Notamacropus eugenii: one gene and its partners. The protein of the gene in region 1 binds, or shares a complex with, the protein of each later gene. Links are inferred from orthologs where the notes say so. Each region holds a gene or a part of one and is shown on either strand. Other genes may lie near its edges.

The links.
Region 2: SMARCD3 (region 1) and ACTL6B share a complex: the UniProt entries of both Homo sapiens proteins name them as parts of the BAF complex. The link is inferred for Notamacropus eugenii from reciprocal best matches to the Homo sapiens genes SMARCD3 and ACTL6B.
Region 3: SMARCD3 (region 1) and DPF1 share a complex: the UniProt entries of both Homo sapiens proteins name them as parts of the neuron-specific chromatin remodeling complex. The link is inferred for Notamacropus eugenii from reciprocal best matches to the Homo sapiens genes SMARCD3 and DPF1.
Region 4: SMARCD3 (region 1) and DPF3 share a complex: the UniProt entries of both Homo sapiens proteins name them as parts of the BAF complex. The link is inferred for Notamacropus eugenii from reciprocal best matches to the Homo sapiens genes SMARCD3 and DPF3.

The regions. Positions count from the first base shown.
Region 1 is NC_092874.1:94,746,213-94,754,088, reverse strand, and holds the start of SMARCD3 (SWI/SNF-related matrix-associated actin-dependent regulator of chromatin subfamily D member 3), read right to left. Parts: upstream 3,017-7,876; 5' UTR 2,918-3,016; intron 1-2,917. UniProt on the Homo sapiens protein: Involved in transcriptional activation and repression of select genes by chromatin remodeling (alteration of DNA-nucleosome topology).
Region 2 is NC_092873.1:80,136,142-80,143,462, reverse strand, and holds the start of ACTL6B (actin-like protein 6B), read right to left. Parts: upstream 3,017-7,321; 5' UTR 2,908-3,016; coding exon 2,883-2,907; intron 2,241-2,882; coding exon 2,164-2,240; intron 1,856-2,163; coding exon 1,690-1,855; intron 1,038-1,689; coding exon 937-1,037; intron 424-936; coding exon 326-423; intron 1-325. UniProt on the Homo sapiens protein: Involved in transcriptional activation and repression of select genes by chromatin remodeling (alteration of DNA-nucleosome topology).
Region 3 is NC_092876.1:31,450,758-31,458,267, reverse strand, and holds the start of DPF1 (zinc finger protein neuro-d4), read left to right. Parts: upstream 1-4,498; 5' UTR 4,499-4,710; intron 4,711-4,749; exon of another isoform or gene 4,750-4,943; 5' UTR 4,944-5,019; coding exon 5,020-5,104; intron 5,105-5,219; coding exon 5,220-5,381; intron 5,382-6,574; coding exon 6,575-6,702; intron 6,703-7,299; coding exon 7,300-7,389; intron 7,390-7,510. UniProt on the Homo sapiens protein: May have an important role in developing neurons by participating in regulation of cell survival, possibly as a neurospecific transcription factor. Belongs to the neuron-specific chromatin remodeling complex (nBAF complex).
Region 4 is NC_092872.1:293,878,659-293,885,753, forward strand, and holds the start of DPF3 (zinc finger protein DPF3), read left to right. Parts: upstream 1-4,093; 5' UTR 4,094-4,195; coding exon 4,196-4,245; intron 4,246-7,095. UniProt on the Homo sapiens protein: Belongs to the neuron-specific chromatin remodeling complex (nBAF complex).

The DNA of each region.
Region 1 (7,876 bases):
ATAGCTAAGGTCAATGAATGGAGATGGACAGGGGGAAGAAGAGTAAAAAGTAGGATATGAGAGAGGGAAGGAAGCAGGTCACAGAGAGAAGAAAGGACGGCAAGAAAAGGAAGCAGGGAATGGGGCTGGCAGACAGGGGTAATGACTCCTGGTGTCAGTCTAAGGCAGCAGGCAGGCCAGAGGTGCCCGAGGGGGAGTAGGCATCACAATAAAAGGTCACAAGTTGGAATAATATCCAAGAAGCACAAGGTTCCAAAACTGATATTAGCTTAAGTCTTGGCAGGACAAACACAGGGGCTGAATTGGGCACTGGGGCATTCACATGCTTAAGAGGCATGTAAGGTTCCGTTGTTGAAGATAGGCAGTACTGGAATGATAATGACAACAATGATCATGTTAATAATAACTAATCTCATACAAATCTACATCCATGCAGAGCATCACCAAAGCCCCAAGAGGTAGATACTACCGGAATTTTGGAGGCTGTGCCCCCACAGCGGGTAAGAGAAGGGTCATGAAAGGAGAGGACAGAGGTAGAAGCACTGAAAGGGAGATGGAGCCATTGTAAGGGGGACGGAGGCAGAAGCTGAGACAATTCATGGGGGATGGAGGCAGAGCCAGAACAGGAGACACTGAGGCAGAGGAAGAGTCAGGGGCAGTGGGGGAAGGTGACGAATGAGGAGAGAGCAAGGAGACAGAGCAAGTACAGAGGCAGGGAGAGACAGACAAGGTCTGCAGGAGGGACATGAAGGGGAATGGGGTAAGAGGCATCCTAAGTACAGGGTACGGGGGGAGGGGGGAGAGATGCAGAATCGGGGCCTGTGCAGGGAGGATGGAGTCAGGTAAATCAATCAAGGTAAAGGGGACAGCACAGAAAGGACAGGGTCAGACAGAGAGGCCAGGCCAGTGCAGGAAAGCCCGGGGCAGAGCCAGTGAGGGACAGGGTGAAGACAGGCAGGGCCAAAGGGAGTACAGGGTTGGGGGGGAGGTGCAGAACTAGGGACAGAGGCAGTCCAAGAGGTGGACAAAGGCAGAGGCAGTGTAGAGGGGGAGGAGGGGAGGGGGGAAGAGCCAGTAAAGGGAGAACAGAAGCAAAGGAAGTGGAAGGGAGGGAAGGAGCCAATGCAGGGAGGATGGGAACAGAGGCTGCTGTGCAGGAGGGACTTAGACATAGAGCGGGGTGGGGAGGGGGGGGAGGGAGCAAGAGGCAGAGGCAGGGCCAGTGCAGGAAGGATGGAGAAAGAAGCAGTGCAAAGAGGGGGCGGGGCAGAACCAGTGCAGGGGAAATTGATGGGGCCAGGTCAGGGGGGAATCTGTAAATCTAAGCCTCAATCTGTACAGGTAGCTTAGTGGTGATGGAGCAGAGGAGAAGGGCAGTACCGGGGACAGTCCTACTGAAAGAAGCCAGGTTTATAAGACGCTAATTTCTCAGTCTTGAAAGTCCCCTGTTAAGCTCACTGTCCACATAACCACAGTGAAAGTTGGTCATAGCTTCCAGCTTGGCTCTTTGGAGACAGATCTCCACAATCTTCCCAGTCACACCTGGACAGATTAAATGCTACTTCTTGCCCTTACCCTCCCTCCCCTACTTTGCATCTCAGGTTTACATTCACATCTGGTGACAAAAAAAGCCGCAGTCTTAAGGAGTTAGCCTTGCCCTGGTGGAAAATAAACAATATGGGGTAGTGAAAAGAGGACCTGCGGTACGATTTTAACTGTTAAGACCTTTGTGACGTTAGAGAAGTAATTCTGGCTTCAGTCTCTTATCTCTAACATGAAGGGGTTGAACTAAATGGTTTCTAAGATACTTTCTAGCTTCTAAATTCTAAGAATCTATCTATTTTTTAAGTGAAATTCTCAATAGTCTAACAGGCTTGCTTCTGGGGTCCTAGGCTAATCTTCATGGCTGAGTGTAAGAGGAGAGGATGCTCTATAGAGGGGGTCAGGCATAGGAGTCAGTGCCAGAGGTGTGTCTATATGGACATTCTAGATCATGGAGTAGTCATGACAGGTAGGGAAGGCAAGCAGAGGGGTGTTATCAGGGGAAGAATACCTGTGGATGGGTAGGATATATGTGTATGCTCGTGTGTGTGTCTGTGTCTGTGTGTATGTGTGTGAGAGAGAGACAGACAGACAGAGACAGAGAGAGAGACAGAGAGAGACAGAGAGAGACAGGGAGACCGACAGACAGACAGACAGAAAGAACAGGCTAGGTGATGTTAAGAAGCTAGGGTGTTGAGGGGGATATATTAGGTGGGGAGTGAACAGAATGGGCAAATAGGAAAGGGCTTAAGGGGTCAAAGATAAGGTATACCAGAGAAAGAGAATGTTGGGAGTGTGCCCAAGCTGTAAAAGGAAAAAGAGAGGTATTTTCAATAGGGAAAGGAGCCTTTTCAAGACTGAGGGGGAGGAGGAGAATGGGGGGAGAGAGATGTCAAGTGGGGGTGGAGTGTGTCAGAAAGGAAGAGGATGCCCCGTTCAGGACAAGAAGGATGCCATGAAGAGGGGCTAAGGGGATGCAAATTGGGGGAGAATGATACAGGGGTGGAAGAATGAAGGAGGAGATGCCAGGGGTGCGTATGTGCCAGGAGGGAGATACCAGTCTGGGAGGAGAGAGGGAGATGAGAAGATGCCAGGCAAGGAGGGGAGGGGCTGTGCCAGGAGGGAGATGCCAGTCCGGGAGGGGAGGGGTAGATGCAGGCAGGAAGGGGAGGGGGTGATGCCAGAAGGGAAGGCGATGCCAGTCCGGGAGGGAAGGGGGAGATGAGGAGATGCCAGGTCGGGAAAGGCGGGGGGAAATGCCGGGGGGAGGGGAGGGAGGGTGACAGGCAGAGAGGGGAGGCAGGGGAGACGCCAGTTGGGAGTGGGGGCTGCCAAGCAGGGGGGCTGCAGGGCCCGGGCCGCCCAGGTGGCTCACCTGCTCCCGGAGCTGCTCCGGTTCTGGCCCCGGGACTCCCAGCCCCGCGCTCTGGCCCCGGCCCCTCTCCCCGGCTTGGTGCTTGGGCTCGGGCTCGGCCAGCCCGGGCGCCTGCGCCGCTGCAACCCCGGAGCGGGGGAGGCGCAGGGAGCGTCTGAAAAGAGCGTGGAGCGTGCGGCGAGTTAGGGATCGGAGCAGGGAGCGGTGAGCTGCGGAGGGGAGCCCCCCCATCTCGTTCCTCCCAATGCATGGGGCACCGCGCGATCTTCAGGAGCCCCTGCCCAAGTCCATTTTGATGCACGCTCGCACTGATCCACACATGTCCATTTGCAGACAGTCACACAGGGGTCAGCCCCCAGACCAACACCCACCTAGACATAGACCCACTCTGACACGGGCATGCACACTGGCGGATTTACAGCCCCCAAGTCACCCGCAGTTCGTCATTTAGAAATACGTCTGGAGGAAGGAAAGTCCACCTTTGGGGCAGGACTTTAGGGTTGGGATTCTAGCAAGGGTCTAATCACCCCCGTCCACCTCCTGGGCCTGGTGTCTGTGTTGACTTATCAACCAAAAGAAGCCAGGTCTCTGTGGGGTCAGTGAGCTGACCTGGGCATCCTGAAATTATTTAGTGGATTATATTATTTCAGGAACCCATCTACGAAGAAGACAGGGCCCCAGACAGCTGGGAATGGGGCTGACCTTATGAGTAGGAGGTGAAGGCGGCATCCCACAATGATGGAGCTGCCGGCAGGAAACTGTATTAAGTAATTCATTTCTCTTTTCTGTGCCTCGGTTTCCTTGCCTATGTGACAGTAGCTGTCCTAAGGAGCACATAAGCCTGAGCCCTGGCCACCTATCATGCTCTATGGAATGGCTACTCTTACATTTCTACAGACAAGAGGTTGTCCAGATGATCTCTGGAGGTAACTTTCCAATTCTAATTTTCTATGAATCGAGAGCGTAGAGATTTTCAAAGCACTTGATTCCATGCAAGTCAATCACCTCTCCAAGCTTGTTTCCTCCTCTACAAAATGGGGGAAATAATTCTTGTGCTAGGTACCCATCTCCTAGGGGAGTTAAAGAGTAAACTGGGTAGCCAGTGCTGGTGAGGACCCCATGCAGACAGGCATGTGGCACAACTGTAAATTGCACCAACAGCTGCTATCAGCTCCATCTTCTCTCCCTTCCTTCTAATTGCAAAGTTGTTTCTGGTTCTCTGACCCAGAATTGCATGGCCTCCTACCTTCAGCAGGAGCACAGTGAGAATTTTTACAACTACTGCCCTTTTTGTCCTGAGAAGGGTACCCTTCTCCTTTTCTGAAGCTGGGCTGTCTCATTTTCTTCTCTCCTAAATGTGCGATGCCTACAGACTTTTCCATTTTCCAGTGTCCTTGGGAGACCACACACAGACCACCCATAAACAGTGATGATTTTTAAAGGCGCTTATTAAAAGAAACAAAGGGGGAGGAGGGGAATCTACTGCAATTAGAATGAAACAGCTTTATCTGTTCCTTAGTTACAAAATTGTTTCTAAATCTTTGCCCTACTTCTCTCCCTATACAAATAGAAACAGCAAATGACGAGTTGGAGTCCTTGGCTCTTGGCCATAGGATCTTGGGTAAATCACTGAATCTCTTGAAGCTACAGTTGCCTCATCTGTAAAATGGGGACAAGAATAAAAATTTACAGTAAGAGCAGGCACATTCTAAGTCCTCTTCAAACATTCTCTGATACTGTAATACCTTACTAAGTTGTTATGAAGATCAGAGAAGAATGCATGTGAAAGTGATTTGTAAACTGTTAAAAAAAAATACAAATGCAAGGAAATAAATTGTTTTTTTTGAACTCTGAGAGGGCTTGGTTCAATTCATACTAGAGAACTCCCAGAGTCTCTTGGCTGACTCTTGCCTTGAGTTCTTGTCCATCCGATAAACTACCTTTTAATTTTCCTTCATCATTTTCATTTCATCAGTTGCCTGAAGGAAAATGACTCTCCATCCTGACCTAAACCTGCCTGGTTCTAAGGTTCTCAACCTAGTCTTCCCTTCCCTGGAATGGGGTGTGACCCTACCGTTTCCTGTTCCTGTTACCAAAGGTTGCCTATCTCCTTGGTCTAGGAATTAAGCTCATTTACATCCACAGGCTGGGCTCCCCTTAATCTAGCCTACCCTGCTCAGGTTAACAGATTGGACGAATTTCCCAGGTGTGCCACAGTGACCTTATCCAACCAGGCATTTGTAAGGGTTTTCTTCAAGGTCCTTTCATTACATTCTTAGAATGAGATATTTTCAATACATAGCATCATAGAATCTAAGAATTGGAATACGTGTCAGAAGTTATCTGATCCGAATTGCCTCCTTCCTCGTACAGAATCTCTTATTTTGTGCCAGGAATTATCCTGTTCTCCTTGGATCAGTACTCACTGTGCCTGGCGCATAGCAGATGATTAATGTTTGTCAATCGACTTGGATTAGATATACTACCAGCATACTAATGACCTTAGAGTTTACTTAGTTCAACTTTCCACTCAAGGTGTGACTCCTCTCTACAACATTTCTAACAGAAGGTCCTTCTGCTCCTGCTTTAACACATTCATTAACAGAGTTCATTACATCACACAGCAGTCCATTCTACTTTCAAACAGCTCTAATTAGGAAATGACTTCTTATATAGAGATGCAATCTACCTTTCTGTATCTATAGTCCTTATTAAACTGGTAAGTAAAGAGCATTTTATCTCTTTACCATATCCATGTTAAAAAAAAACCCATTCCTTTCAAATGAGCATGAAAGCATAGAGTTAGAGCTAGTTCAACTCCTCATTTCACAGGTAAGGAAACTGAGGCCCAGAAATGCCACATCTTCATTTGCCAGAAATTCTCCAAGGCTATGTTAAGCCACAAAAGAAAGAAGAGGTAGGAATAAATAACACAGCCACATTTTGAGTATCTAAATATTGTGAACTGAAGCTTGGCACATTAGTAATTATGTCTTGCACAGGAGAGATATATAAAATAATTTAGTTGAAGATATATGTGACCAGAAAAGGGCTGGTTATAGAGTAAAATCAAGGGATAACAGATGACCAGCTTCATTGCTGCACTGCTGCACTGCTATGCAGGAAATATTAAAAGCATCAGAGAAATACTTTTAGTGCTTTGGGTATATTTTCTAAAGAGGATGTATGACATAATATCCCCTTCCAGGTTCATTCCCCTAGTCCACACAGGCACTGGCAGTTTAGATCCCCAAAGAGTGGCTGCTACTCTTGTCATAGTTCTAGGGGTAGTGTTTTGGGTGACTATTCTTAAACTGTAACACCATAACTCTCAAGCCCCCACCAGAGTGCTTCCCATTAATAAGCCATAAGACTCAGTTCTCATTAAAGGCATTTACTCAAACGGTATAGCAAGAACAGAAGTTACTAAACATTTCCCCTGGGAAACATGGGGCCTATTCTCCCACAGATATAAACAGAGTCTATGACAAGGTGGGGAGAGAATAATGGCTGAAAACTTAAAATGCAGTGGTAATGAGGTATGTATGTAAGAAACACATGACTAAGACAACTCACAACTTTGTAAAGTTTTGATCTATTTCCTTTCTATAAAGGGCTCTTAAGAAGGTCACTGCTGAGTGTTAAGTTGGTGATGGATAAGCTCCTTCCCTGCTTAGCGGGTTAACTGGACTGGCTTTTCGAAAAGCAAGGTAGCTCAGTTAGATATACAGCTCAATTGGTCTTGCTCCTCATAGGAAAGGGGTCAATATGTTGCTAAGCTGGATCAAACAGTTCACTCAGCTACTGAAGTGGCTCTTCACTGGACTTGGATGTTACTGGAATGGACCAGACAGACTACTCAGCCACTGGGATATTGCTAGACTGGGCCAGGAAGGCTACTCTCCTGCTGGGCAGGTAGCGCTGGACATGGCCAACAAGATACCCTGATATTGGACTGCTACTGCCAGAGTAGTCCAGGAAGATCTCTCAATCAATGGGTTATGACTGCCTTGGCTGTGTCAGCCAGATTATTCAGCTGCTGGGCTCTTTTTAGGCTTAAACATCTTTGCTTAAGGTAAGGTAATATGCCCATTGATAAAGAAAGCTCCCCTGCCCTAAATATTTCTCTTACCTGGTCTACCACAATTCCCGAAGTTCCCACCTTACTAATTTTTCAGGAATAAGGCACTGAAGGTCAGTTAAGAAAAAAGTTAAAACAAAAGGCTATTATCAGCCGTTGATACTGTAGCTCAAATTGGTTGAGGAGATTATGCCCACAAAGTGCTGGACCCTCATAGTATGGAGCTCTCTTGTAAATTTTGATGGGAGCTTAGCAAAAGGTAAATTTTCTAGCTTGGAACCCTGTAAAGGAGGAGTAGGAAGGACCTAAGGGCAGATTTTGGACACAGGGTACTTGGAATGGGCAGATGCATTCTGCCATAATTTTGTGCATGTCTAGTCCTGGCTCTGCTGGGCTAGTTATGTCCCTAAAATAGTTCTTAAGCTAAGATCCAGAGACCTCAAGGAGTTGGTAGGTAGATTTCAAGGGGTCTATGAACCTGGATGAGAAAAAAGTTACATTTTAATTTTCACTAATTTCTACCACATTTAGCTTTCCCTTTATTTAATGAATTTTTAAAAAATCCGAGAAAGGGTTCCAGACTGCCAAAGGGGTCCATGATACAAAAAAGGTTGGGAATCCCTGCCCCAAAGGTAGACTTTTTTATGAGTTATGTATAAACAACCACAGAGGCAGTATGAAAAGTGAAAAGGGTACTATACGAGGAGTTAGGAGACCTGGATTATAGCTCCAGTTTTCATAAGCTTTTGTTATGTGACCTTAAAAGAATCACCAAATCTTTCATCTACAAAATATTCCTCCTTACCTCACAGGGGCATTGTGAGAATGAAAGGATATAATGACTCTGAAAGTGTTTTGTAATATGAATGTAAACTGCC
Region 2 (7,321 bases), on another chromosome or scaffold:
GTTGGGGGTGGGGGTAGGGATGAATTAGTGTGAGAAGGGAACTTCTACTTCTCTTAGTCCTGCTAGTCTGCTGTTCTTGGGCATCTTAGCTGTTCAGGCCCTTTCAGCTAGCTGTTCCTCCAAGTGGAGTCAGGAGGGGTTAGGAGAAAATGCCAATACTTAGTCCTCTATTGTGGGAAGGGGTTTAGTTCCCTAATCTTGGAGGGCACTCACTCTACCGAATCAGGCCCAGACTCAGCTTGCTTCAGCAACCAACTACCTTCCTCACTTGGTGCTCCCAGTGTGCCCCCATGACTCCCCTTTTTGTGGCCAGCCCAGGGGATACGCGGTGAGCACTGCTGTCTTGCACAGGAAGAAGGCAGGTATGTTGTATTGTTCGAACATTAGCTCTGTGAGTTTTTCTCTTTTGGCTCGAGTGTTCCACTATGGGAGGGAGGGGAGAGAGGATAAGGAGGGGTTTAGGTTGGATATAAATAAGCTAACAAGCACACACACACAGGCTTATGTACTAATATGCACACATACGCATGTACCCAAATGAACATGTTCATAAACACTCACACTTAGAGTGCAGAGAGGCTAGGGACCAGGCCAACTAACACAATGCAAAATGATCTTTACTATCAAACCTCCTCCCTACCCCCAGTGAATGAATACTATCCCCATTCAGAGAGATATGGGAGAGGGGTGTATAAATGTGAAAATGAGGAACACTTGTGGAGAGGGTAGGGAGAGAAATGATAATTGGAGGAAAGGGGAGATAGGGTTCAGTTTTGATGAAGATTTTGAGGGGGAGAGAGATGGGGTGGCTAATTGAGATCCCAAGGCTGGGGTCAAATGTAGAAATAAGGTGATTGATGAAGGATTCTAGGGTAGGCTGGTTAAGATAGAGGACAAACTCCAGAGGCAAGGGGACCCAGAGCTGGGAGTACGTACCGGGGCCTCAGACATGAGTACAGGGTGCAGATTTGGCTCCGATTTGACATGTTTGCTGTAAGTGTGATCCAGAATGGCCCGGAAACACTCCCAGTCCTCAACTGGGCACCAGGAGGGGAGGAGGAGACAGAGGGATGGGAGAGGAAGGGTGGTGAGAGAGGAAGAGACAGATATGTGGGGAAGGGAAACAGAGAGAAGAGGGAGACAGGATGATAGTGAAGAGAGGAAAATCAGGAAGAGGAACACAGAAGAAGTTTCAGAGAGAAGGGAGAAAAGGATAGAGAAAAAGAAAGATATAGAAAGAAATACAGAGAGAAAGAGTGAGAGACAGGCAGACAGATGTTTCAGGGGAAGACAGTAAATGAAATGAAGAAAGAAATAAAGACAGGAGTATATGTCAGGGTGTGTGAGAAAAAGAAAGAGACAAACACGTGTAGGCAGGAGAGGTGAGGACAGGAGGGAAGAGAAAAATGGGGTGGGGGTAGACCTGAGTAGAAAAGTCAGACCCCTTTCCCTACTCTAGGGACCTAGGAAGTGAGTATGGTTGAAGCTGAGGGAGGGGAGGCAGAGAGGACATAAGAGAAACTGGGTAGCCCTGGGACCTGGTGAGGGGAGGTCCTGATCAGTTTTGGAACAACTGGCTGTGTCTGGGGTGGGGGTTGGTGAGGGGCATACTGTGGTCATAATGAATGGGACAGGGGCAAGGGCTGCAGCAGTAGTGTTCCCAGGAATGGATATTGGGGTTTCCCTTACTCATGCCATTCTTGAGGGGTGACATGACCTCAGCCCCATCCCGTGGCACATGCAGGGCATTGGTGTCGATGTGGAATGTTTTCCCCTTCTTCTCCTTCTCTCCATCCAGCTCTAGCCCACCCCCCTCCTCCAGCGTCAGCAACCCTACAGTAGTGGGGAAGTCAGCCTAGGGGGAGGAAGGGAGAGCAGATTACAGTCACCTTTTCTTTTCTCCACATTACTTTATATCCCCAAACAACCCCATCCCAATTACCACATGCCTTTGTTCTTGCCAAACCCATCCCCTTCCCAGGGCTCACATCACTATTCTACTGAACCCATATTAACACTTTCCCAAACTATCAGGAGCCTTCTTTTAACTCCTTCAGGGTGTTTATGTATGAAGGAAGGGGGTGGGTTCTGGGAACCAAGAGGGAGAGAAGTAGGACCGATGTAGACTTTAGGAAAGTTGGGAAGGGGAGCTGGAAGGCTCACCTTGGGGCAGTCCTCCCCAGCATACCCTGCTCGAACTGAGAAGGAACCTATGTCAAAAACCAGGGCTCCAACTTCATCTGTGTGTGTGTCCAAGGGGAGAGAGGAGGAGGGGGAGGAGATTGCAAGTCAGAGCAGAGGGGCTTTCCCTCCCTCAAACCCCACCTCAGAAGACCCAGAGAGAGATGAAGTCGGGGTGTGGAGACTCTCCCCCCTCCCATAAACTCCACCTAAGGGAGACCAGGTGGACATGAGGTCAGAGGGGAGGGAGGAGTCTTCTCCACAAGCCAAAACTCAGATGGGCATTTTGGCCATGGGATCATTTATGGGATCTGAGGGAACAGTAGGAACATAGACACGTTAGGGAGATTTGTGGAATGCTGGACATGGAGGGGGCAATTATATATGCAGAGGTGGGGAGGTGGGAGCTCCTAGCATCCACAAGATCTGAGGTTCTGGGTTGGGGTGAGGGACTGCCTGAGAGAAGAGTATAACAGCCTGTCAGTGAGCTGCTAATAAGGGAGCAGCAGGAGCGCTGAGGGCCTTAAGGAAGGTGAGGAACGCTTGACGAATGCTGGCCATGGGACATTTGCCCTGCAGGTATAAACCAGCTAGGAGCTACCAGGAATGGAGGACTGGGGCTGCAGGAACTGGACCCCCCAGGCTAGGGGTGCGGTGTGAAATGACCTGGCTTGAAGGCCGGGGTCTCGGGGCTATCTCACCTCCTCCGTAGACACCTCCGCTCATGGTGGCTGCTTCCACTCCGGCTCCAGTTCCTGCGGTGGTTCCAGGCCGAGGACCCAAAGCTGCAGCAGCGGGATCAGCACCGAGATAGCCGGACAGCTCCAGGGACCCAGGAGGTGGGGAGAGGGTGCTTAAGGACCGGCCAATCAGAATACCGGATCCCCCACCCCCACTCACGCTTTCAATTGGTGGGGAGCGCAGACAATAACCTAGGCCGGCGCCTCGGTCTTAAAGGGCCAAGTGCCTCCAGGAATTTCTGAAGGGGAGGGGGAGGGGATAAGAGGGTCGAGGCGGGGGTGGGCTATGAAAAAGGGAGAGGAAGGTGGGAAAGCCCCTCTATCCTGAGATCTAGGCCCCGAGGTGAGAGTGGCGTGTGTGGTCTTTGTCCTAGGCTAGGTCTCCTGGAGGACTGAGCCTGGAGTCTAACGAGCCAACGTGGTCCTAAGACAGGCTCAGGAGAAAACGAAGGCCACAGGGTGAGAGAGAACGCCCGGAAACTGAGAAGGAAAAGAGAGAGGGAGAGAAGGGAGGAATCAGCGTGGAAGGATGGAAGAATCTTCTCTTTCTCTGTATTTAACCTTTAACTTGGTGACTCAACCTTTTGTGTGTGTCTCAGAATGATGTTTTTAAATGCATAAAACACATAGAATTACAAAGGAAACCAGTTTTATTAAAATAGTGTGCATATATATGTGTGTGTATATATATGTATATGGATGTGAGCATAAACACATACTATATATGTGTGTGTGTGTATTATATGTATATGTATATGTGTGTGAGCATACATACAAAATTCAGAGACTCCAAGGCCAAGAATTCCTGCAACTGAATTCAGGTCTGTTCCTCTTTTTGGTTTGGGCTTTTTTGAGCCTTTTCGAAACTATGAAGATCTCTCCTTGTTTGGCTCAGGAGATGATTTATAAAGTGAAAATCAAGTGGATAGCTCAAGTGATTCATCTTAGAATCTTGATTTGGCTCCTCACTCTCCACTCCTCAAAGCACACTGAATTTGGTGCGGATGCTGGAGCACTGGAGGTGGTGTTTCAATAAGAAACCTATAGAAAGAAAATTTTAGGGGATTTAGGGGAAATATGTCTTTAAATATTTGAAGATTTGTCATGTAGAATAGGGATTAGACATATTCTTGGACTCAAAGGACTTTAAAGATCTAGAGCTAAAAGTGACCTTAAAAGTCATTGAGTCCAACCATCTCATTTTGAAGATGCTGAAAGTTCAGTGACTTGCACAGTGTGATAAAGTTGGTGAGTGAGGTGTGCAGTTCCATCCTGGGTTTTCCTAACTGCAAGTCCACTCCTCTCTTTTCTACTCTATGGGAGCAATAGGAAGGGGGAGGCAGGGAGAAAAGAAAAAGACAGACACAGAAATACAGAGAGAGAAGCACAGGTATATTTTATCTAAGTATAAATGAGACACTAGCTTCAATAACTCCTTCAGTAGAAACCCCAATAATGTTACTGGATTAAAAGGCAATGGAATCTTGTGAGTGACAGTTGAATAAGCAGTGTCTTAGGAGATTTAGAGTTTAACTGTTCTGTAGGAGACTTAAGAGTTTAACTGTTCTGGAGAAGCTGTTAACTGTGTTGAATGAAGAAATGACAAAAGAAAACATTTCTTGAGAGAGCTAAATTTAATCCTTCTAAAAAATAAAAAATATTTTAATTGGCCACTAGGTAGCGCAGTGGCGCTGGGCTTGGAGTCAAGACCTGAGTTCAAATGCAACCTCAGGCATTTATTAGCTGTCTGACCCTGGGCAAATCACTTAACCTCTATTGGCCTCAGTTTCCACACCTATCAAATGAAAATAACTCTTTTTTGAAAGGTTGTCATGAGGATCAAATGAGATACTATTTATAAAGAGCTTAGTGCTAGTCGCCTGGCACATACTTGGCATTTAGTATTTGTTTTCTACCTTTCTAACTAATCTGGATCTAGAGATAGTTGCAAATTGGGATTATCATCCTAAAACTGAGAAGTATGCAGCTGTAGAGATCCTCAAAGACGAATTGGAATATGAACTTTTTGACAGCTGACAGTTTAAATATTTGTATCTTTGTTTTACTGTTTTGTACCCTGTTAAAATAACCAGCAACCTCAATGTTAAGCCTAGGTAGGGAGGAGAGATAAAATAAATAAAAAATAAGCAACAATCATGGAAAATGGGTTTCTTAAGTTTATTCAAAAAGGAAAAAAATAATTTTTTTTAACAATTAGAGCTACTAATCACTAGAGTTCATCAGACAAAGACTGAATGACCATTTGTTGAATACACTGTAGAGGGAATTTCTGTTCAGGATAAGGGTTGACTAATTTACGTCTAAGAGACTGGGATTCTAGAATGAGTCTGCTGTCAGCAAAGAATTATATGGGTATATCGAATTTATTATAGGTTCTTGGGGATTTTTTTTTAAAGAGATAGAAGGTAAAAGGAGGAAAGAGAGAATGGGATTAGATTGGATGTTCTAAGGTCCCTTCCAGGTGATGTCTTATTGACTTTAGGCAGTTTTCTCTTTTAAAATATACGCTGTGTGTGAAGTGAGATTATTTTGTTCTTTTTATTAGTATACATTTCTTTAGCTAGCCAAATTTATGTTAAATAATTTTTTAAAATTTATTTATAGTGTCTAGCTCAGAGCCTGGTACATTCTAAGGATAGAGCCTGGACCAATGATTTTATTTGTAGAGAGTTCCAGGGTGAGGGGATTCTTCAGTCAATGCAGGTTGGTACCTTCTTTGCAATTTATAGTCTTGGAGAGTTGCCTAGAGTGGTGTGAAACTCAAAATAGAAATCATATATAAGGATCTTTGCAGGGTGCATACTGACTTAGAAAACTACATATTAATATAATTTATGTTCTATTGTATTTTTATTTATTTTGATATTTCCCAAGTACAGTTTAATTTGGCATGGGGTCAGTCCTGCATTGCAGGGTCATATGTGACTGGCAAACTCCAAGTTTGATATTTCTGGTCCAGAGTCAGTTAAGAGAAGTCAGGACTGAACCCAGGTCTTCCTGATTTTGAGGCTGGCTCTTTCTCCACTATGCCACACTGCTCATAAAAGGCACTTAATAAATGCTTCCTGAGTTTGTTTCCTAGGCCCTGGTACATGCATTTTTATATGTGTAGCTGTGTATTCACTTAAACTGGCAGGACTTGTCCATGAGGAGGAATTAGGCAGAATTTGTTCATTCAATATTCATTACATAAATATTTCTCAAATACCTAGCCTATTTTGTGCCACGAATTGCTGGTGATACCAAAACAAAAGAATGAAACTATCTCCTGGACCTCAAGGAGTTTACATTCTATTGGGAGAAAATAGCATGTACCAAAAAAAAAAAAAAATACAAAAAATATATGTAAATTTGAGGTTCATGGATTTACTCAATCAAGCCTCCTCACCTTATAATAAGGTATGCCCTGATGCCTTAATGAGGTAAGAATAAGTTTCAAAGGAGGAACCCATCTGTCCTTGAATACTAAGTGTTCAGATAGTCCTTACACTATCCTCAGACAAATTATCAATTGCGTTGAGAACTGGCACTATTCCAGAGATTGGAGCAAGTGTGACTTTCAGTAACACTTCCTAAGAAGAAACTGCTTGGGGCGGGGAAAGTTACAAAAGGTTTCCAATCTTACTTTGGCCTAAGTCTCTCCTTCCTCCTTAAAAAATATGGAGAATCAAGAGGATTTGGACCTTCCCATCTCCCTGTCATCATTCAAGTCAAGCAAAAACTGGACAAATATTCACTTTGCTATGGAAGAACTTGTTGAGCACCACATGAAAGGGAAAAAGATCTTCCAACAATCAAGAGCCATAACTTACCACTTTGCCACATGTGCTAAACTTGGGCCAATTCACCCCTGGTGTCTCCCACCAGTTTGTCAGACTGAGGTGGGGGTGGGGGAAGAGGATGCTTTGTACCAACTCTCCTTATGGTACTACCTTACTGAATACCCTCTCTGAAAACTACCACATAATCATGATAAGAACACACCAGAATGAGGCTTGGTACCAACAGCATTAAGGAAAGGTGTTCTCCAACCCCTCAGTGGTACCTCTAGAACCAGGTAAGGATTTAGGAACCATTTGCTGAGGACCTGGCTAGTTAGGACAAGAAGGCACTGGGCACCTTTTTTGGGGGAGGGGAGGTTACATATACCAAGTTCTTTCCTAGTAGTGCTAGTAAAGGGGTAAGGGAGTATGGTAGGGGATCAGGAAGACTATAAGGAAAAGTCCTTGAGGTGAGCTTTAAAGGAAGCTAGAATTCTCAAAGACAGAGGTGCAGAGGGAGAACATTCCAGGTAAGGGGGATTATAGGCATATAGGAGATGGGGAGAAAGAACATCACATACTGGGAAAAGCAGACAAGCAGTTTGCCTGGAATGTAGA
Region 3 (7,510 bases), on another chromosome or scaffold:
AACAAAGAGTTAAAGACTTGAAGAGTAAAGACTTGAACTCTGTCTTCAAACAAAAACTCGATGACCACTGGTTAGATATGTAGAGGAGTGGCTTGTTTAGGGATAACTCAGAATCAGGATGGACTCTGAGTTTCCTGACAACTAAAAAATTCTGGGATTCTTCTGGAGAGGGAGACCTCTGGGCACTGCAGCAGGCCAAGGGGCTTTCTTAAACTCCTTGGGAATCTAGAGAGAATATAAGGTTAAGATGAAAAATCCACATATAGGTTGAGGAGGTGGACACACAAAGACACACAGGCACATGGAAACACACTTAGAAAATCTAATGTAGCAAGGAGCCCAAGGTTGAGGTCTCAGGAGACCTACTTCAACCTGTGATTTTGGGCAAAGATCTCTGTGGGGTTCACTTTCCTCATCAATCCACTGACAGAGTTGGGCTCCATAGACTCAGATGTCCCACTAAACTCAGTGCAAATGCCAGTGTGGGGGAATTTGTCTCATTTTTCCTCCCTCAATCCCTCCTGGGGACTCCAGACTTTCCCTGGCAAAGGATTCGGGATGGAATGAAAAGAGTCCAGGGTTTGGAGTTTGGAGTTCGTCTTGGCTTATTACTGCATCAAGTTTTCCCTCTCCGGACTTCGATTCCCCCTCTTTAATTGGAGAACTAGGCAGGGGAATAGGTGTTGGAATAGGTGGTCCTTAAGTACTCTTTACCAGCTCAGATGTTCAGGGTTATGTCATTCTTCCAAGGCTTCGGACGATTCAGTACTGAGGACAGCTCCCAGGACCGCCCCCTGCCGGAGGTCTATTCTGTTACAAGCCCTGAAGTCTGAGAAAGGCTAAGGATGTTCAGTTTCGAGGCAGGCCCAGGGGCATGCTTCCACTCTCACCTTAGGGGACCTTCTCCATCCCTTTAGTGTGAGTCCCACAACTTAGTTTTGGGTTCTGGAGTGTTCCCTAAGGGAGCAAGGTATGGGGGAAGGAGGGGTATGATCTCCAAGTAGATCAGGAATTATCTAGATACTCAAACCCCTTTCATTTTACAGATGAGGGAACTGATGGGGGGGGGGGGGGGGAGAAGAGAAAGAATGTGTCCAGGATCACACAGGGAGTAAGTAACCGAGATGAAATTCCAAACCAGGGCTTCTGCTTTCAAACTCAGCGCTCTTCACTCCCTTCCATTCCACTGGGCTGAATCTCTGCCCCGGGCACGGGCCGCTGCTCTGCTGGGAGGAAATTTCAGAAAGGAGGAACTAGGGGATAAGGTATGGGTGATAAACTCAGAGCGGGGATGCCTATAGAGCTGGGTTTCCTGGGGATAGGTCTTGGGGATACAGGATTCCCATACATTCCCTCTACCCCACGTAGCCTGACTTGGCCGGAAGGGGGACGTTGTGCCTGACGGAGAGCTCCAGGGAAAGGATGCTCCGGCCTCCTTCGGCACTCCCCGCCCGGTACCTCGGCTGCCCAATCGGCGCCCTGGGGGAGTGGGCAACCCGCAGGGCAGTCGGGATTTGGAGTTCTCCCAGGTTGGCCCCCTCCCCACCCGGGTGTTTGAGAGGACTCCATCTCCCAACGTCCCCCGGGAGGTGTGAGGATTGGCAGACCCAGCCCACCCCTTTCCCCCTCCCCCGTGCCCCCCTTCAGTCCCTGATCCCCTCCCCCCTCCTCCTTGGTCGCGGCCCCGCCCCCCGGCCCCGCCCCTCCCCTCACCGCAGCCGAAGAATGAATGAAATTGTAGCGCGCTGGGCGGCGGAGCAGGAGCAGGAGGAGGAGGCGGCGGCGGCGGCGGCGGCGGCGGCGGCGGCGGCGGTGGCAGCGGCAGCAGCGGCGGGGGTCGGGCACGGCCAGCGGAGCGCGGGGCCCCGGGGGGCCGGAGCCGGGTCCCGAGGGCCGAGTGGCTACGGCGCCGGGGGAGGGGAGCGGGCCATGGCCACCGCCATCCAGAACCCCCTCAAGTCGTGAGTCTCCCCTTCCATCCCATCCTCCCTCCCTCCCTCCCTCCTCCCACCGGGCACGGGGCTGGGCACGGCGGGCAGAGAGGGGACAGGAGCCCTGGAGCCTTGTGTCTGCCCCATTTCCCTTCCCGGAGATTGATGGGTGCCACTGACACCTGGGCGCCCTCCGCCTCCCCCCCGCATCCCCCAAGCCTTGGGTTTGATAGGAGCTGGGGATTATTGGGAGGGGGCGGGGGATGGGCACGTTTGGCAGCTGAACCTGTCCCCCCTCCACCTTCCAAGCCGTCTCTATTGTCGCCACCCTCAGTGCAGGAATTTGCAGATCCCCAGGTCCGGGCTGGGGGCGGGAAGGGAAGTGGATCTGCTGGAGGCTGGGAGGGGGGGGTTCACCATCCCCGCCAACCCTAGGCACTGGTTCTGGGACTTGTTAACCTGCCAGCCTCCAAGGCTGGGGAAGGGAACTGGGAGCCGCAACCGCCTGGGTCCCCCCCCACTGTGGACCCTCCAGTATAACGGGGCGGGGGCGCCCCTTTCCCTGGCTCCACAGGCTCCTCCCCCAGGAGTGACAGGCGCGTGCCCGACAGAGGGGGAGGAGGCTGGGGAGTGGCGCGTGCCCGTGAGTTGTCGGGGACGCGGAGGCGCACAAAGGGGCCCCGGGACAGCCCCCCTTCCTGGCCCACCCCGTGAGCTTGGCCTTGACCTTGGGGTTGAAGGGGTGTGAGGGTCAGAGCGAGGCCGCGTGAGACTGAGGGCAAGCAGCAGGAGGGTTGGGGGTTGCTGGGTTTCCTGGAAGTCTCTGATCCCTGTCTTTTCTATCTCTGTCTCTGCGAGATCTGGAAGCTAGGGGCCGGGCGACCAAAGGGGGGGGTGGGGGGGGCCACCGTGCACGCGCCAGCACGTGTGGCCTGTGTGCGCGCTCTGCGGGTCTGTGCGCGCCCCGGCTGCTTGTAAGCTCCTGTGTGAGACTGTGATTGTGTGGGGGGGTCTGTGCATGTGAATCAGGAGGCCTTTCCGGGTGTGCGTGTGTGTGGGGTCCAGTTGTCTCTGTATCCCAGTGCGTATGCCTGTTGTCAGTGTGATCTGGGTGTCAATTTGTGGTGTAGAGTTGTATCAGCATAATTGTGTTGTATGCTTCTGTATTATGTGTTTACTGCGTGTTGTGTACTTGTGGATTGTGTGTGGTAGCCGAACCTGGGTGTAAGTAAAGGTATATGTGGTTCACACACGGTCTAACTACACATAGTGCCCACGTTAGTGCCAAAATAGGAGTCTGTCTCCGGATTTTCACCTGGCCCAGGCCTCACACCACTCTGTCCCCTTCCCCCACGAGCTGCCAGGGCCTCTCCTTCCCGGGGCCAGACCTAGATTTGGCCTCTAGTGACAGCACCGACCCCCTCCTCCACCTTCCGCCCCGCCACCCCCGCACTACATTTCCCAGCATGCCCCGGGGAGTCCCTCTCCCCCCCCATGTTGGTTGATGTCCCCGCCCCCACCCCCACCCTGAGAATGAATGGAGTGGCCGCCAGGGCCAGGGCGCTGCAGACCCCGAAGCTCTGAGGTGACCCGGGCGAGGGTCGGGCCAGGTGCAAGATGGCCACGGTCAACCCCAGCCCAGTCCGGTGGTGAGCCCGGCACCTCCGCCCCATCCCATCCCACAGGGCGGGGGTTGCAGAGCGTGTGTCTCGGAGTGGGATTTTGTGTGTGTGTGTGTGTGTGTGTGTGTGTGTGTAGGGGGGAATTGTGATTGTGTCTCCTGTAATTGTGTGCTTGTCTCGTGTTGCTGTGTGTGTAACGGAGATTTGTGCATTCGTCTTGGATTGTGTTATCAGTGGTTTGGTCTTCCGTGAATCTTCAAGTGGCATTGTATTAATCTATATTCCAAAACAACTCCACAAACGCCTATCGACCACCTACTGTGTACAAGGCCTTTGGTGTGGTTGTCATTCGGGGAGCCTCAGTGTCCTCATCTGTCTAATGGGGATGCGAATTCCTCCGCTACCTGTCTCCGTTCCAAAGGAGAGGAATTGTCTTCTTTTGCTGTCAGTGTGTAATTTGGTGACCCCCTTGACCCGTATTTGGGATTGTGTAGACAAAGGGATCGGATTAGCTGATCTGCAAAATCCCTTCCATTTCGACATACCTGGGGGAGGGGGGAAGTGAGGCTAGGGTGGGGGGAGGGCGGTAACTGTATCTGGTTTTGTGTCCTCCGGGTAGTACACCAAGGAGTGTAGAGGTAGTCTACCTGGTGTATAATATATGGGTGTATGGTGTTGTGGGGGGCGTTGTAGAAGAACTAAAGTGGGGGGAGGGACTGTGCTGGCGCTCACTCCCCCTCCACCCCCACCCCGGGACATTCGCGCTGCCGGGGATGCCTGCGGGCGTGGGCACCACCTAGCGCTCAGCCGCGGGGGAGAGAGGGTCAAGCTGTCTGAGCCTGGTTAGGGGAGGGAAGGGCTCTACCCCTCTCTCCGCCCACTGAACATCCGCCCCGGCGGCATCCCAGACTTTAGCTCCTCCTCTTTTTTTTCCCATCCAAATATGCCAGCTACTCCCCAAAGTTTGAGGGCTACCACGACGTTCCAGGACACTTCCCCGCACACCAGCACAATTCAGATGTTCTAGGCCCAAGCCCCTGCTTTTCAGCGCCTACTCTCTGGCACCTCCTGCTTTTCAGTCCCCCCTCCCCCCACTACGTTCCAGCACCCTCCCCAAGTTCCAGCTTTCTCCAGAAACTCTGGACCCGGAGATTTCGGTACTTCCCACGTTTCAGTGACTCCCAGACCCTCCAGTGACTGGGCCACAGTGTCCCAGCGCCTTCCCTAAACCCAACCCAACTGAGGCCCAGGGTCCACCCGAACATTCGAGCCGGACCCAGGTGTTCCGGCGTCCCCCGAAGTCCCGGGGCATTCCCAGAGGTTCGAGGGCTCCAGGCTCAGACCCAGAGGCGTCTGCTCGGCTGACCCTGCTTGCTTTGCCTCCCCGCAGCCTGGGCGAGGATTTCTACCGCGAGGCCATCGAGCACTGCCGCAGCTACAACGCGCGCCTGTGCGCCGAGCGGAGCATGCGCTTGCCCTTCCTCGACTCGCAGACCGGGGTGGCCCAAAACAACTGCTACATCTGGATGGAGAAGACCCACCGCGGGCCCGGTGAGGAAAGCGGCGGCGCCTGATTGGGAGGGATGGGGAGAGGGAGGAGGAAAGGGGAAGGGGAGGGGGGCAGATGCCTCAACAGTCTCCCCACCTTTGCCCCTCTCCTCTCCAGGACTGGCCCCTGGACAGATCTACACCTATCCGGCCCGCTGCTGGAGGAAGAAGCGAAGACTGAACATCTTGGAGGACCCCAGGCTGCGACCCTGCGAGTACAAGATCGGTCCGTGGGGGGCCCCCAGCCCAGCCCCTGCCCCCAGTGTGAGCGTGGCCCAGCGTGAGCACCTGAGCCTGTGTCTGAGCGTGTGCGGCCCCCGGGGCCTGTGTTGGTGGTATTGAGTCTGGGGGGGGGGAGGCACCCGGGGCGCAAATTGTTATTGATGTCAGAGACAGCGTAGAATGAGACTGACAGGGACCTAGGGACCTTGCCACCGAGGGAGGTAGGTTTTGAACTCAAGTACTCTGAGTTCCCTTTTATCTGTGTGGTAACCTATCACCTGACTGTGACTAAGAATCAGAATGACTTAAAAGTGTTGGAATCAGGAAGATCTGGATTCAGATCCTGCCTCAGACAATTGTGGTGAGATCTTGGGCAAGTCAAGTTCCTCAGTTGTAAAACAGCATGTACCCCACAGGTTATTTTGAGGTGCTCCAATGAGAGAATGTATGTAAAACATCTCCAAGAGCTAGATGGAAGCTGTTGTGCAAATGTGGTTGCATTTGTGATTGTGTGTCTGTGTGTGGTTGTGATTGTGTGACTTGTGGTAGTTTGTGATTGTGTATCTGTGTGGTTATGTGTGTATGGCTGTGTCTGTGCCTGTGGTTGTATGTGATTGTATCTGTGATTGTGTCTGTGTGATTATGTGTGGTTGTGTGTATGATTGTGTGTCTCGGTGCTTGTGTCATGGTTGTATGTGTATCTGTGTGATTGTGTGTCTGTGTGGTGTCTGGCAGGGTGAAATCTACATGCTGAGAAAGCATTCGGCAAACATGTGTACTCTGTGCAAAGCCATGCTTGTGATGGTGTCTCCGTGTGGCTGATGGCAACTGAGTGTATGAGAACTCAGAATTGAGGGCCTCAGTGAGTCTCTGAGAGTATGTCCCTAAGGGGTGGCCCATGGGAGCATGTCTGCCTTAGTTCCAGACTTAGTATGCACTGCTGTGAGCATCTCAGAAAGTGCCCCAGTGTTTTAGGTCAGGACTCAGGTCATACTGTCTAGAGAGACTCCATGGGGTGGGTTGGGGGTTGGGTAGATGTGTGTATGTGTGTGTGAGAGGGTGGGAGGCAGAGGAAGAAAAGAGGAGGGTGAGAGAAAGACAGGGAGGAGGGAGAAAGGGAGAGGGAGAAAGAGATGGAGAAAGAGGAGAGAGAAAAGGAAGAGGGAGAAGATAGAGAAAGAGAGGAGACAGAAGGGGGTCCTTGGCAAACAACATTTCTTTGACCCTCCCTGTTTTCCACCCTTCCCTCAGACTGTGAAACACCCCTAAAGAAGGAAGGGGGTCTCCCTGAAGGGCCAGTCCTGGAGGCCCTACTGTGTGCAGAGACAGGAGAGAAGAAGATAGAACTAAAGGAAGAAGAAACCATCATGGACTGTCAGGTGGGGTGGGGTGGGGGGCCTGCCCTCCAGCCCTGCCCCTATCCCTCCTCCAGACTTCTTTTGGAATAGCCACATTCTCCCCTCCAGCACATATGAGGAAGGCCACCCTGACCATCCTCCTGAGATGACACTTGGGAGTGTCACTCATGTCTGTCTCCTGCTCCAAAAACTCCCTTGACTCCCCACATCTGTAAGGAATTGGCATCCCTAGCCTACCCTTCAGTCTCAGAGGTCTCCACACTCCCAGGGGCTCTCTTCTCGAAATTAAGACTCGAGTGCCTCTGAGTCTTTGTCCCCTCCTCTCTGTCCTCCCCAGCCTTCCTACATCAATCCCCTTCCCCTAGTTCCTTCAGCCTTGCAGCGCCTTCTCTATCCTATATTCTCACCCTGAGTTGGGTTTTTTTTTGGTGTGGAAGGTTCCCTCCCCACCCCCTCACTCTAACAGAGTCCTTTTCTTGCCCCTTGCCCTCCTTGGAGACCCAACTCGGGGGCAGCCCCAGCTAGAGGTCTCTCTTCCACCATCCCTGATGCTGCTGCCCACTCCTAAAGCCTCAGCAAGCATCCCTTCCCTGAAAACTTGTGTTTCCTCCTGCCCAGAAGCAACAGATGTTAGAATTTCCCCATGAACTTGAGGTGGAGGACCTGGAAGACGACATTCCTCGCCGAAAGAGCAAAGCCAAGGGGAAGGTAGCTGGGGCCCGGTTCCCCCTGCTCCCCTGCTCCCCCTCCCCCTTCCCCTCCCAGGCCTGAGCCCAGCTTCTCCCCGGGCCGCCCATAGAGCCAGATTCTCTTATCTGCTGAGCCCATC
Region 4 (7,095 bases), on another chromosome or scaffold:
TAAAAAAATAACATTCCAGGTGCTGTTGTGTCTAGGTTTGGAGCAATCCAATTGATTTAAATTCTGGGCCATCTTTGCTGTTTTAGAATTTTTGTTATATTACAGTCAATCCTCATTAGGCATTTGGAGAACTTTTGTCGGTGTTTTTTAAATGAGAACCCCATTCTTAAAGCTGTAAAATCTTTTTTCCTCACTTCCAATGCAACAACGAGTTTTCCTTTAGACTCCTAAATTTCAGTGTAACCAGGGAGGGAAGGTTGGACTGATCAGGGTCATTGAAAAACTACTCTTCCCAGACAGCCTTGCTTTTCTCTTATTCTGTCTCTCCCTGAGAGATAAAGGGAACTCAGCAATTTTTTCTGGCTCTTCCTTGTTTTCTGATCACAGCTTGAGTAGCCTAAAGTTGGTCCTTGATGAGAACATTTCATTTTCATGGGTGTCAGCTTCTTCCAACTCACATCTTATATCATTCCCAGGTAACTCAGACTGTTTTGTTTGGACAGAGATGGACAGAAAGCTGATAGATGGTAGTGATCCATATCTGACCTCACCTGTGGAACTCCATCTCTTTGCTATGTGAGGAGTGATTTTACGGCTTCCTAATGTCCCTGATGTTTCTATGCAGATGTCATATCAGTTTTTTTCGTGGAGAAGTATATTTACTATTGTGGAGATATCATGTTGGGGACAGATTTTTCTTGGTTTAATAAGTTTTCCACAGCTGAGGAAGAGATGCTTATATTTTTTCTCTGAGGGAAAGTGGCTAACTTAGTGAAGGTTTTGGCTAATTGCCTTGTTTAGACACACTACTCAGATTTACCAAGGAGACTTAAAGCACTTCTGCTGTCATTAATATTATGAAAGAGACTTCAAACTTTTATTTTAGAATCTCTTCCAGCTCGGCCTGTTTACCAAGAGAATTCCCTGGAGATATCAGTAGACTGGAGTGTTGGATGTCAGATTGTTGCAGTCATCTCCAATTTTTCATAGGCTTGTGGCTTCTAGAAAATCTCTACTATTTATTTACTTAGAGTATTATTCATGTAAAGATGACATTGAAAAATACAGTTCTTCCCCCTTTGTCACATTTGTTACTAGTAATATTATATGTTATCAAAATAAAAAGTACTTAAAACCCTTAGGCAACTAAGTGGAATAGAGAATAGAGCACTGGCCTGGAGTCAGGAAGACTCATCTTCCTGAGTTCAAATAGGACCTTAGACACTTATTAACTATGTGACCCTGGGTCAGTCATTTAATTCTGTTTGCCTCAGTTTCCTCATTTTTAAATGAGCTAGACAAGGAAATGGCAAGCCACTCCTATGTCTTTGCCAAGAAAATCCCAAATGGGGTCATGAAGAGTCAGACATGACTGAACAGCAACATTTAAAGCCTAATAACTTTTCAGTAGAAATGACATTTGTTTGACTTTTTCATTCTGTTTATTGTAAGATACCGAATTACATAACTTGTAGTGCTAGAGTGAGCTGGAAACAACATTGCCTTGCAAACCAGTCCATCCTCCACTCAGCTATCAAAGACATCTTCCTGAAGTGCTGAGCTGACCATGTCACTCCCCTGTTTAATAAACTCCAGTGGCTCCCCGTTAATTCTGTCATCAAATATAAAATCCTTTGCTTGACTTTCAAAGCCCTTCATAACCCTGCCCTTTCCTCCCTTTCCAATCTTCTTATATCTTCCTCCCCTAGAAATACTCTTCAGTGACACTGGCCTCTTGTTCCTTGCACAAGAAGCCCCATGTCCTGCCTGGGCATTTTTCCTTCCTGTCTCCTATGCCTGGCATTCTCCCCCTCCTCATCTCAGCCTCTTGGTTCCTTCAAGTCTCAGATAAAGTCCTATCTTCTGTAAGAAGCCTTTCCTGATTTCCCCTTAATTCTAGGGCCTTCTCCATGAAATTATCTCCAATTTATCCTAGAAATATCTTTATTGTACATAGTTACTTGAATTGTTTGCATGTTATCTTCCCCATTAGACTACGCTTTCCTTGAGGGCAAGGACCATTTTGTCCTTCTTTGAATCCTCAGCTTTTAGCACAGTGCCTGGCATATTGTTGTGTTGCTGCTGAGTCATTTCAGCCATGTCCAATTCTTTGTGATCCCATCTGAGGTTTTCTTGGCAGAGATACTGGAGTGGTTCATCATTTCCTTCTCTAACTCATTTTACAGAGGAGGAAATTGAGACAAGCAGGGTTAAGTGACTTGTCCAGGGTCACACACCTAGTAAGTGTCTGAGACCAGATTTGTACTCAGAAAGATGACTCTTCTGATTCCAAGTCCAGTGGTTTATCCACCGCACCACCTAGCTGCCCTCTTGGCACATAGTAGGTGCTTAATAGATGCTGTTGACTTGGTCTTGGCTATGCAGTTAAGTAGTCTATGACCCTTTAAAAAAAGGCATTACATCTCTGCAAGCCTTGGATTCCCCAAGTGTAAAATAAGGGGGTTATGTTTAGTCAAGATCAAATTCATAATCTATAAGTACTTTACAATTTTATTTTTCACTTTAAGCAAATTCATTTTCTGCTTCCTCTGCTTTTGGATTTTTCTGTTGGAAGTACATTATCAATACTGCAGAGGAATACTTACTGGAAATCTTCCTTCATTCCTTCCCCTCCTCCACCCCTATTCCTGCCCCCAAAAGTTTTTTGTTTTGAATAAAAACATAGAGTCCTGGACTGTCAAAACTATCAGAAATCATCTAATCATAGGATTATCGGTGTAAGCTTGGAAAGACCTTTTGAGATTAACTAGTCCATCTCACTCACACCACAGAGAGATGAGGAAATAGATCTTGAAAGATAAGTCACTTGCCTTTGAGATAAGTAAACAGGACTAGAATCCAGGTCTTCTAACTTCCGATCTAGTGCTCTTTCTATTAGATTGCTAATATTTCTATAGGTAGCTTATATGTCTATAACAATTTAAGGTTTATGAAGCTCATTCCTCTCAATAATACTTTGGGGTAGGTAGTGCAAATGTGATCATCCCCATTTTACACAGAAAGAAACGGAGGCTCAGAGGTTAAATGACTTGCTGAGAATCACACACCTAGTTTCTGAGGTAAGATTCAAACCCAGATCTCATGATCCCAAGGCCAGTGTTCTTTCTGCTGCCTCATAATTTCAGTTGTGAACTGACCTACCTTTTTCTTATTTTTATTGATATTTTTTAAAAGCACTTTTGTTTCTGAATATCTTTCTTCCCTTGCCCCTACCCTAACCAAATAGAGTGAAGGCTGGTTACAAATGGAGTTGTTTGGGTGTAAGGATTAAGAGAACCAGTCGGATTCTCTCTCATGAACACTGACTCCCATCTTGTGCTGCCACATGTATTATCCTCCATCTTGTTCTTTTGCAAATCATTCAGGGGAAAATAGATGGCATCTATTGTTTCATAAAATGAAGGTAGATGCAATTAATCAGCATCTCCCAATTCCCAAGGAAAGACCTCAAAACCTGCTCACCCTCTCCCAACTGACCAAAACTCATTCTTCCCCCCTCACAACTTGGAAAATCCTGTCATCTTTCCTCCAGTTAGAAGTCAGATTACTTAATCTTATATCCTGGTTTATATGCTATGAATTGTTTTCTTTTAATGCATAATGATCTATTTCCCCCTGTATTTGGGGTTCAGTGCCAAGCTGAAGAAGCCTGATCCCAATTTGTTAGGCAAATACAATGAGTTGCTAAATAAATCAATACTCTCAGAATCTCAAACCTTTGTTTCCTTAGTTATTTCTGATTTCACCTGTCACGCCCAGGGAGTCATCCCTTGTAAAAAAGATTAGAAAAAAAAGAAAAAAGCAATTCAGCACAGCCAGCCAATGCATCAACAGTAAATGCAACGTTCCATACCCAGAGTCCCCCACCTCTGCAAAGAAAGGAGGGAGGTACATTGTTTCATTTCTACTCTGGATCAAACTTGTTCCCTATAATTTCACAATGCTCGGTTTCATCTAACTTACTTTAAAGGAAAATATCTAGTATTTAAATAGTTAACATCTTTTTGGCAAGCTTTCAAAAGAACTTAGATTACTGTTCCTGGACAACTGGAGATAGAATCTCCTCATCTCTCATCGTCGTTGTGGTGTAGCTGGTAATCTTTGCAGTTCATTGGGACAAGGCATTTTAGTGCCAAGGAAGTCTAGGCCAGAGAGTTTTCATCTTCCATATACCATGGCTCCTGTAAAAGTTCTCACTTGCACTACGAGGGTCCTGCATTTTGGGTGAGGAGCAATTTCAGTGGGTGCGGTGCAGACTTAAACATTGGTGGAAAACTGAAGTTCTTATTTTCTTGTTAATCTTTTCTTCCTTGTTACTAACTTTGATTACATCAGATTATGTGCCATTTTGTTTTATAGCATTTTAATAAGCTCTCATTTTCCCCTCTGCTCCTCTCCAGCTGTGTGTGATATGTATTTGCTTTAATTTGATTATACTTTGGTTGGGAGCTAGTATTACAGTTTCATACATGTATGTATATTTCCTTGTGATTCTGAGAATATTCAATGAGCATAACCTTCTGGAGGGAAGGAAGCCAAAACTCATATGCATTAATTAATTAACTCTTTGGGTGGCTCTATCCTGGGCAGGGTAGCAGGTAACATGTACCTTAGAAATGTGAAAGGGTTAATGAGTCTTCTTAAATTGAGGGTTTTGCTTCAGGTTCACTAGGAAGATTTAAGTTTTTAATAGTTTTTTAAAATACTTTCTTGGGGAGACGAGGTTTTGGATTTATGATTTTGTCTATCTGGAGATCTCCTATTGTAGAAGCTTTTTTTTAAAACTGATACAGATTGTCAATTCCTCTGTAACTTTAGTCTGAAAGAAGCCTGGTGGAGTTGACAAATTTAGGGATTTGTCCACATTTCCATGGCCAGGCAGCACTTGAATTCTGGTTTTTCTGACTCCATCATAAGTCCACTATTCACTATGCCATGTTGCTGCTTTTAAAAATAGTACAAAAAAATTTAAACTGTATTTTCCTACTTTATTGAAATATTTCTTTTTTAGAACTGTTAAACTTTTCATATTTCCCCATTTTTTTTCATTCTCATATTCACACACAAGCAAAACAAAGGTTCATTTATTATGTGGTTTCATTTTCGTCTGGTCTCTCCCTCACTCCTGCTTAAAAGAGTGTTTTAACTGGTGGATAGTTAAGCAGCTACATTTGTATCTTTACTTTTCTCTCTTTACTGGCTGCTCCCTCTTTGCCCACTCCCCATGTATTTTGTCCTCAAGGTCATTTTCATATTTTACCTCTGATCACTGGGTAAATAATGTTCTTTTACTCTTTGGAATGTGACTTGTCAAGTAAATTGTAATAAGGAAAATCGACAGTTTCTCTGAATTAGTGGCATTTGAAATGAAAGGAACCACACACTCAGGAATCTGAAATTTGCCACATTTTACTAGGCTTCTATTTTTTCTTATCAAAAACCTCAGAGGAGATATTTTGCATATAGATTTGTTAGAAATATTTAAATATTGTAAGCATTTTATCACAGTTATTTTTCTGCAAATATATGATTTTTAAGAGATTTGTTAGATTTTTACCTTGCAAAAATCCTAAACTGCCTATGCCTTAGAGTTTCTGTGACTGAAAAAAATCATCTTTGGTCAACCTCTTGGCCAAAGGATGGTTGTTGCTGATGAACCTCACCAAACTTATTTAGATGGGTCTTGGGTTCATGGCCTTTTAGTTTGTTGTGGGGTTAGTACTAGGTGGTGAAGTGGATAGAATGGCAGGGCCTGGAATCAGAAACACCTGAGTTCAAATTAGGCCCTAGACACTTACTAGTTGTGTGACCCTGGGTAAGTCACTTAACCCCTATTTGCCTCAGTTTTATCATCTGAGAAATGAGCTAGAGAGGGAAATGGCAAACTATTCTAGTATCTTTGCGGAGAAAAAGCCAAATGGAGTCACGAAGAGTTGAACGACAACCTAAAACATTCTCAGCCTGCTAGGACCTGCTAGGGTTTGTACTCAGTGTCAGCACCTCAGTTTCACTCATAGGGGAAACCTCTTGATGTGGAAACCCCTTGCTCCAATGCAAATTAGCAGCTCATCTGTAATTTACAGTCTTTAGAGAGATTTGCCAGGAGGCATTGAGAGTTTAAGTAACTTGCCCATCATGACACAGGATGTATCAGAGACAGAACTTGAACTCAAGTCTTTCTGATTCTGAGGCTAGTCCTCACTTGACTATGACACACTGCCTCATGGGGACCCTGCAGCACTGGTAAATAAATGCATGATGTGAATGGATTTATTTCCCATCCATGTAGGAGACTGACTACAACTACCATTTTAATGGGCATTTTGAAGCACAGCTGGTTGTCTCCCCTCAAATGCACCAATCTTCATTAAAGATAGCTGATTCTCAACATCTTACTCTCATCGTTAGTGGGGATTTTAAGTTACCTGATACATTTTAGAGCAAAAATGATAATAACAATAATATGTATTTAGTATTTATATAAATTTTATTAAAATTTATATAAAAATCATATAGATCTAGTATTAATATAAATATTTTGTATTTACATAGTAAAGTTTGCAAAGCACTTTACAACTCTATCTCATTTTACTCTTATTAACATTCCTGGTAGAAGAAAGAGCACCGAACTTAGTAGTGGAGGGACACGCTTAGAACAAGAGTACCCCAGTTCCTAACTAGTTTGGTGGCTTTGGATTCTATGTCTCAATTTCCTTCTCTGTATAATGGGGATAACAATAGCTAGCATTTATATGCTGCTTTGAAGTATACAAAGCATTTTATATGTGTTATCTCATTCTCCTGAGAAAGTCAGAAGTGAAGCTACTTACCCAGGTAAGTCTGTAAGGGCGCATTTGAGCCCAGATCTTCCTGACTGCAGATCTGGAGCTCTATCCATTGGTGCTTAGTGAGAACCTACCTGCTCAGGCTAACTCTGATACCATGTAGTTCGTGGTTCATTGATAATTATCATTTTTTTTTTTATAACTAGGAAATGGAAACTTTCCCTTACCTGTTTCTAGGGATGTGCTAAAGATGGATGAGATCATGCTCACTTTGAACTCTTCAGGAAAA